2 linked regions of the Coturnix japonica genome follow. The protein of the gene in region 2 purifies or fractionates together with the protein of the main gene of each other region. This does not show direct contact. Links are inferred from orthologs where the notes say so. Each region holds a gene or a part of one and is shown on either strand. Other genes may lie near its edges.

What was found.
Region 1: the proteins of UBLCP1 (region 2) and PSMC1 purify together in Homo sapiens (affinity purification with mass spectrometry; 3 studies listed by BioGRID and IntAct, with this or other methods). This does not show direct contact. The link is inferred for Coturnix japonica from reciprocal best matches to the Homo sapiens genes UBLCP1 and PSMC1.

The regions. Positions count from the first base shown.
Region 1 is NC_029520.1:39,735,716-39,740,322, reverse strand, and holds the start of PSMC1 (26S proteasome regulatory subunit 4), read right to left. Parts: upstream 3,051-4,607; 5' UTR 2,966-3,050; coding exon 2,963-2,965; intron 2,718-2,962; coding exon 2,664-2,717; intron 2,552-2,663; coding exon 2,455-2,551; intron 2,301-2,454; coding exon 2,176-2,300; intron 1,716-2,175; coding exon 1,530-1,715; intron 1,327-1,529; coding exon 1,198-1,326; intron 540-1,197; coding exon 443-539; intron 299-442; coding exon 109-298; intron 1-108.
Region 2 is NC_029528.1:12,396,066-12,400,430, forward strand, and holds the start of UBLCP1 (ubiquitin-like domain-containing CTD phosphatase 1), read right to left. Parts: upstream 2,973-4,365; 5' UTR 2,899-2,972; exon of another isoform or gene 2,706-2,898; intron 505-2,705; exon of another isoform or gene 502-504; 5' UTR 465-501; coding exon 311-464; intron 1-310. UniProt on the Homo sapiens protein: Dephosphorylates 26S nuclear proteasomes, thereby decreasing their proteolytic activity. Recruited to the 19S regulatory particle of the 26S proteasome through its interaction with 19S component PSMD2/RPN1.

The sequences.
Region 1 (4,607 bases), on a different chromosome or scaffold from region 2:
CACTTCATATCCCATCACTTCGGTTGCCTATAATTAAAGTATTACTATGGAAATGGTTCTGAGTTCAGAAACTGGATGTGGATACAGCTGCAGAAGAAGGGCACGCACCTCTTTGTACCAATGGCATCGATCTCATCAATGAAGACAATGGATGGCGCGTGCTCTTCAGCCACGCGGAACAGCTCACGCACCAGCTTGGGGCCGTCACCCAAGTACTTCTGGATGAGCTCGGAACCAACAACTCTCAGGAAGGTTGCTGACGTTTGGTTTGCTACTGCTTTGGCCAGTAAAGTTTTACCTGTTTTTAATCACAAAAATAATTGTCACTAGTCTGCAGGCTGGAAAAAAAAGCCAGAGATCAGCGACAGACCTGGCAGTGGTTTAACAGTAACCAAGTATGATTTACTTAACTAGAGCTAGCTCAGCACAAAGCCACAGATACCTGTGCCAGGGGGGCCGTACAGAATGACGCCTTTGGGTGGTTTTATACCCATCTCTTCATAGTACTCAGGGTGGGTGAGGGGAAGCTCCACAGACTCCTGCATCAAGAGAAAAACAAGCCAGTGTTTTCATGAGCAGTGAACACTGCAAAATACCTGTGGAGTTCCTAAGGACTGCATTAATATAAGTAAGAAAGGCAAAAAGAAACAAAGTAATTGGAAGACAGGCCTTGAAAAACAGGCATCTTGGATACCTCAAATTGTAAGAACTATTCTACCCTAAAGCAGCTCTTTCTACTGCTTCTTTTCCACGTGACAGATGGAAACAGTGAGTGTTCCCCTTCCTCCATCTCAGGCATCACAACAACTCTCCAAGTTTGCAGACTGGCTCCCAAATGTTTACGGGAGCCCCCCAGAAACTTGGAGGGCCCTTCGTTAAAGGACACTTCCCAGTATGAACTACCAGATACCACAGATGAATGCTTTAAGAACATTTGTGACTCTGAACGCCTATCCAAAGTGAAAGAGCTGAGTGAAAGGTTTCTGGCCACACAGTCTGTGAATGGGGATGCTACTAACTTATAACATTTTTCCAGGTCCAGGTGCCTGCCTAATGAAACTGAACTGAGAACTGCAGGAGCAAGATGCAAAACACCACCATGTGAACAGCAGCTGGCTCTGCTGTTACTCTTCCATACTTCTGTCATAATGGCCAAGTTTAGAGCTCACTTAGCAGTGGAAGTCAGCACACGATTACCTTGATTTCCTGAATCTGGTTGTCAAGGCCACCAATGTCAGCATACGTCTCTTGAGGAGCTTTCTCAACTTTCATCACGGTCACTAAAGGATCTGTGTCATCCATCAGGACTCCAATCACAGCGTGAACCTAATTCAAGCATGAAGAGTTGTCAGAAAGCAAGTAGCACGATTAACACCAGAACGAGCCTCAACCCAATGCCCACATGTTGAAGTGTACGGAATAAACAGCATTAATCTGAGATCGTGTGATCATGTGACTCTTGGAACAGATGCCAGTTAAAAATAGCAGACCTCGTGCTGCTTCTTTTCATCTCACTTCACGTGACTCACCTTATGGTTTAGCAGAACAGAGCAGCCCGGCTCTAGCAAATCCTTGTCCACAAAAGACAGAATACTGACGTAGTGTTCTGATCCCACCGACGTGGACACGATGGCATGGTTGTCATCAATGATCTCCTCCAAGGTACCCACTGACATTGGTGTCCCCCTCAGATCGTCCACCTTTGATCTTTCCTCCTGTTGTCAAGAAGAATTCAAGTAACAACTCAGGAGCACAGGTAGGAACATCACTGCTGGGTTGGTCCTGAGTCTGCGTGTTAACTTCAGATCAGGTGCTGCACAGTCAAACACTGGCAGCACATTCTAAAGAACCACAGGCCAGTAACAAAACCGACTGTTTTAGTTCTATGGACATTACTACATGGTTAGGCACAAGAAGAATATTCTTCCTTCCTCTACTGAACTTGCTAAGACTTCTAAGAAGCCAAAAATTGCTGCTGCCACATCTGTGATAACCTCTGTTTGAACTAAAGGCATTAGAATGCTTGAAGAAAATCCTGCTTTCTGAAAACCAACTGATGTTTAGTGTAAAATTTTAATGCAATAAGTTCACTTACACAGTCGTGATGCTGCCTTTGTGTGAAGCAGTTTACACGCCAGCAGTCATTTTAGTACTAGCAGCTCACTCAAAACTCACCTCCTGTTTCTCTTCCAAAGGTTTCATTTGTTCTTGATTTCTGATAAATTCCTCCTCCATTAGCAGGTAATCTTTAATCCTCTCTAACTTCAGCAGTTTGAGTCTGCACTGTGTGTGAGGAGTCACTGCAATCAAAGCAGAACCACAGCGTTTCAGACTAAGTATGACACGCCATCAACTATTCATTAGTTCATTGGGAGAATTCCTGCTTTAGGTTTGGGCTCCACCTGCAGCCAGGTGGGCCAGGGCTGTGCAGGGCCCAGCAGGCCGAGCACTTACCCAGGGGCAGTTTGCTGGCAGCATCTGGTCCCTTCGTCTTCTTCTTCTTCTTCCCCACTCTGGTTGGAACTGGAGGTTCATATTTCTTCTTCTTGTCCTGATGTGCAGAGAGAATTCCAAGGGAAAAAATTAATTAAAAAGTCAGGATATGAGCAATGAAAACAAAACACCAGGCCGGCCCGGCCCGGCCCGCCGCTCTATGTCCGCACCTTGTCGTCCTTCTTGCCGCCGCCGGGCCCGTGTCCGCCGCTCTGACTTTGCCCCTAAATGGGAACAAACACAACGGCCCGTTAATCACAGCCCCGCACACTCCGCGGCCGCTCCCCACATCCCTCGGGCGGTGACTCGGCAAAACGCGTGTCGGTAGCGGCGGCTCCGGATCGTCCCCCGGGCACCGCCGAGCGCTCACACCCGTCCCCACACGCTCCCCCCCTTCCCACCGCCGCGGCGGCCGCCCCCCGCCCGCACAGCCCGCACAGCCCCCAGCCCCGCCGGCCCCGCCGCTCACCATCACCGCAACGCACCGGAACCGCCGCGACGATGGAACCAGGATGTGGCGTCACTGCGGAGCGACGGCAGCAGCCAGCGGGAGGGAGGGACGGGCGGCACCTGGCGGCCGAGCCGGCACCAACACAGCCGGCCGCAGGGGGTCGCGCCCCGCCGCTGTGTGCCGCCATCCGAACGGAACCGATATGGACCGTCCTGCCAGCGCCGGGCCATCCTGCACCTGACTGTGAATCACCTGTGATTCTGGGGAAGGAATCACCCCAGATCCAGCCCACGGATGGACTGCTGGTTTAGGATGTTCTGAACAAGCTGAATGCTTCGTCATTAACTACAGCCACATTCACATACACTGAGCTCGTTCCAAAGCTGCTCTGCAGGATGCAGTGAGCCATGAACTGAAGACACAGTGAAATAATTCCCACAGAAAGAGGAATACAACAAACAACCTTATACAGAAAACAACCCTGTCCCCTTATTTCCCAGTAGTATTTCTAAAGGAACATATGGGTGCTTTCTAAAAACTGCAGTGACTACTTAGAGTGTGGGTAAGGGATTCTTGGACAGCACAGGCTGCCTGGCAAAGCTGTGCACATAATGACTGACAGCTCAGGGAAGCAGAAAGAGGGGAGAGTAGAGAGAGCTGCTGTTGGTGTAGGAGAATGGGAAGTCACTGAGACATGAGCTTCACCATGCTGAATTAAGAAGAAGATATGTTAATTTTAAAGGCTCCTCAGTGAAGTCCTGGCTCTGTATTAATCTGTTGGCTGTGGGCTGTAGTGTAATCCCCCCTCTGTCGTTTCCTGCAGCCCCGTGATCTAATGCTGCACAAGCATCTCGCTGTGTTCGCATCCTCTATTGAATAACTGCAGCTTCAGTTTTGTGATGCACACTCTGCTCCATCAGCCCGTCATTGCAGCGCTATCAGGAGGTAGGGCTCATACAGCTTCTAACTGTGTTTTCTGTCAGTAATGCAAATTGAATCTGCTGAATTAGTCAGATCAGTCATCCTCACTTGCGAACAAAAGTCCCACCCATGATTTCTTCCGGCTGCTTGTTGGGGTTCTGCTTTGCTCACTTGTACAAAGGATGCACTTTCTAAGAGAACTTCAGAAACAAGAGCCAAAGCCCCAGTATGGGGCACCAGCACTTACTGCAGGGGCTGCACAGAACTCTTCTATCAGAAAAACCAAACAACTGGAGAAGTTCTGTAGCTCCACCAGTGCTCTTGTGTTCTTTGTATCTGTTGCAGTTTCCATGCAATAGGAGGCACTACTTTCAGAGCAACCTACGTCTATGAGATGTGTGTTGGGATCACGGCACAGCTGCGGCTGCGGGCACCCTGCAGAAGTGTTGCTGTTAATTAAATGTGAAAAGGGNCAGAGCAACCTACGTCTATGAGATGTGTGTTGGGATCACGGCACAGCTGCGGCTGCGGGCACCCTGCAGAAGTGTTGCTGTTAATTAAATGTGAACAGCGGTTGTAGCAATGTCAACATATTCTACTGTCAGATCTCAAAGTCACGTCAGCTCACAGCAAACCGAACCTCCCCAGCCTGAGAGCAAAAGAAGCAGATGCCCGCTCAGAGGAACAACATTCCTCTGTGAAACACAAAGAATAGAGTGGTATGTTATATATTTGTTATACC
Region 2 (4,365 bases):
CTGAAATTAGCTACCCATAAAACACAAGAATACTCCAAGCTGCATTGTCATCCTCCATCACAGACATGCTACTTGTCTGACTAACAAGAATTAAAAATGTTTAAGGTACACCTGCTGCACATCAGCCATTAAAAATGACCCTTTAGATGTATCAGTAATGAACTACATAGTGATGTATCAGATCCCTCTGTGTGCGCTCATTCAAAAGCAAGATCTAGGAGGTAGATGCTCTGTTAATACACACATCTTAACTAAGCTAAGAGGATGCTCTTCCTTAAATATCTCACAAATAATAAATACAAATAATTACCCTTCATCTTAAGTCCAAGTAATTTTTGGCGCTCTGGTAACACTCCAGTAAGGCCTTTAAGAGATTGCTTCAGATCCAACACAGTGTCCTCTTCTGATAGCGAGGTTATCGTATACTCCTGTCCTCCCCATTTTATTATGAGAGAGAGAGACATCCTTGAAGCATATGTTCAGTGTTATTTCCTGAAAAATCTGCTGGAGGAGAAAAATGCAATGATCATGTAAGCAAGAAATAGGAGTAGTTATTTCTTTTTTCAGAAGACAAACATTATAGTCTGTTTTTACATTTTTGTGATGTTGTACATCAGTGAGCTGCTTGTTTTGCATGCACAGGTGATAAATGTTAATACAATAGTGAAACTAAGGGAGAAAGAACAGCACTACAGCTGTGGCTTTGAGTTCCACTTTGATGTACTTAGCAGTGTCACACTCACTGTCTGCTGTAGCACATGCTCGCTTGCTGTGTGTTCAGTGCAGGTACAGCTTTTTGCAGCACAGCCAGCATTCAAGCAGAGCACTGCAGCATCAGAGAAGTCATTTCAATGTCCTCTGCAATAATTTCACAATCAAACCACTCATAACATACGTGGCTATTAAACAGAAAGTAAGCAAGTCCTAAAATACACAAAAAAAACCCAACCAAAACAGTTCTGAACCAACAGTTCAAGTGGATCGAACACTTTCCCTACTCACTTTCACTGAGATCTGTGCAGTAGCTGCAGTAATACACCTCAGGTCACGTCTCACTGTAGCAATATCAAAGCAGTTTGAAAACAAAGCCAAAATACACACCTACACGGTACAATTACACTGTAAGAACTGCACTTTCATTGCAGTGCTGACAAAATAATCGTAATTACTACCTTTAATTTACGCCAGATCATTTATGTGAATTATATTCAACGGTTTATTCCCACACTAAAGACAGAAGCAAGATTTCTAGCTTTCTGGGAAAGGAAAGACATGTTTTCTTCCGCCAAAGTTTGGAAGCAGAGAATCAAGGAATGGGTATGAAAAGGCCATTTCAAACTGTCAGAGAACCAGAGAAGGCCTCTGCACAACTAATGGTGAGAACGCACTTAAAAGATTGATGACCAAAAAGTAAAGGGAGAAGAGCCATAGAAACAAAGTAAAACCAAACCTGAGGGTGTCCACCTTCAACTGTACCAGGCATTGCACTGTACCAGGCAATCCAGGTCTGGCAATTCCAATAAAAGCCAGAACTCAAAAGTCTGACTCCTCATCCTCTCCAGCATCGCTCTCAGCAGTTACCTGCTCTCATCCAAAGTAATTCCTGCCTATACAATATCCTTTGTTAAGAACAATTGAATAATTATTCAGACATACCCACCAAGCTCAAATCAGATAAGAAATGGAGGATCAGATACAACCTGCCTGCTGTGCACAATAAAAAACATTCTTCCTCACTATCTCCTCTAAGATCCCTGAAAACAAACTGAATACATTTTAGAACAATCAATTTTTATTATATTTTAAAATATCTCCAAATATCCCCAAATTGGACGGGGAATAGTATTATCCTGTGAATTAGTATTATTCTGTGAAAGATGGCCTTAGAAGTATTAAGAGAATCAACTGAGGTTAAGGCTGCATATCAGCAGTGTTAGCTCATCACAAATAACCTCTGCCCATAAACCTCAGACCAAGATTTCTATGCTTAGAAAGACGAGTTTGTGGCCTGCTTTCTCAACTGTACCACATGCCTGAAGTCATTCTGCAAGCAAATGCACTGAGTAAAAGCAGTAAGGAAACTTCTCAGGCCTCAAACTGAAAGGATCCCTATAAAGCAGAGCACTCATCAGCTGCCAGTCCTTGCAGAAGTACAGTTATCTCAGGATGAAGGTTATCAGAAACAACAAACAGAATGACCTTTATTCAGTGCAAAACACTGATGGAACTGGGTGTGGACAATAGAATCAGTGTTTCCAGGCAGGGAGATGGAACTAGATGATCTTTCAGGTCTCTTCCAGCCCAAGCCATTCTGTGACTCAATGAACAGATGAGGACCAAAGAGAAAGTCACAGGGATTTTCAGTTCCTATGGACTGGGTTGTATAGAAGGGATAGTGAAAGATAGTGAAACCAAGTTTGTTCTAGTCATTGTCAGATGGATGACATTGTCAGAGCCCCGAGGGCCACCAAGAGCCTAAAGTTAAAAGGGCACTGGGGCAGATAAAGCGTGGTTCTTGGATCTGGGAGGGAGATACACCTCCATGTTTCTGGGTATTCCACCCCGCAACGTAAAACGTGAGCACGACAAACCCAACCCGCGGGATGAGCAGCGGCACGGAACGGGGACGGAGCGCTCAGAACGGCCGTGGATCCCCGGCTGAGGCCGGTCCCGGCGGTGACACGGGGAGCGCAGAGGCCTCGCGGCTGCAGGCCCCGCTGTGCCGCGGACGTTGCGGGGCCAGGAGAGACGCGCTCACCCCTCGCACCCCCAGCACGGCAATGCCCGGTGCTACCGCGCACGGAGCCTTCAGGTCCGGCCCCTCACGGCGATAGAGGCCGCAGAGCCGTTATACAGAAGCCCCAGCCCCACCCGCGGCAGCGCGATGCGGCCCCTCACCCTGGCAACGGAACCGGCACCGACCCGCGATCCGCCGCACCGGTAGCGGAAGTGGAGCGCGCCGGAAGCGGAGGGATGGCGGATGTGAGCTGGTTCCGGTTCGGTGGAGCGGGGTGTTTTAGATCGTGTTGGCTGCGGACTGTCGGTGTAGGCCCAACCGGGACCCTGCATCCAGGCGGGCCGGGCCGGTACCAGCCGTAGTTCCGTAGTGGTCTGTGTGTGCCAGGAGACGCTGAGATGTGTCAGAGTCAGAGTTATCACTGCTGCTGCAGAGTTATTTTCCTGCTCTGCTCTGATAGGAATTCATTATTTGATTTAATTTTATTTTTGAGGTAAAATCCACGGGTGGCACCGAGCGAGTGGGCTGGCACGGCCCACAGCCACCAGTTCGCTGCCATCAGCTGCTCTCTTTCATTAATAACCTTCACAGGAGGTTTATTGATGCCCTGAAGTCCTTTGTAGCTTCTAAGCTACATGGCAGAGTATGGTTTTGTATCCCTTGAATCAGTGGTGCCGTGTTGGGGGCTGCTGGGATGCTCAGCTGTAGTTGCTTTGTGACATTGATAACGAGTGTAGAAGGAAAACTTAGTTTGTGCAAAGATGAGCTTTTGCATTTAGATGTTCTGCTCCTTAGAAATCGTTTAAAGGAAAGAAAACTATCAGTGCTGAAGTGTGATGTAAAACCAGGTGGGAAGGATATTGACTGCAGCTGTGGTCAGAATTAAATCTGCAGGGGAGGAATAGTGGATGTGTCGGTCCTTTAGTCTTAGTTCTTGCTCAGTAATGACCTTCTCCTTTTTTGTTCAGTGATAGGAAATGGAAGAAGAAAGGAGAGCTGAGCACAGCGCTGCAAGAACTGTCCCTCACATTGTGTTGCAGACCTGAGCAAGGTGCAATATAAGAAAAAGCTGCACAGAAGGCTGGTTTTCCACAGTCTTTTTTTCTTCTGACCGGGAATTAATTTTATGCGTTTCCTGCTTGGATACAGATTTTAAGTTTTGTTCTATATTCAGATTTGAGCATAAAAAGTGCTCTGGTTTCCAGAAAAGCGATGCAAATGGGAGGTTACTTCACTGACTGTTCGTGTCAGGTGTAGCTTCTGACTGCACTCAAATCCCTGTTGAACCAGTTAGTGTGTATATATTCTAGTCATGAAGGGCTTTTCATGCTAGTTCCCCTCTACAACTATCGTGCTCTGAGGCAGCATGGTACAGTAGTGCTGGAAAGCTTCCAAAGTTACAAGTAGTAATTAAAGTCACACCCTGTCATAAAACTATGCACCCTGGAGGCCTTTTTAAACAAACTCAGGCTACAGAAATGAGACTATAATGTGACCAGCTCTTTACTTACAATCTTTTTGATACATTCTAATAACTTCCTAATTGGCCTTGATAAAACTCTCTTGTGGAGAAGAGGCATTAATTGTTTTCCTGTTTGGTTTTGGTTTGAAAAAACTATTCAATGTTT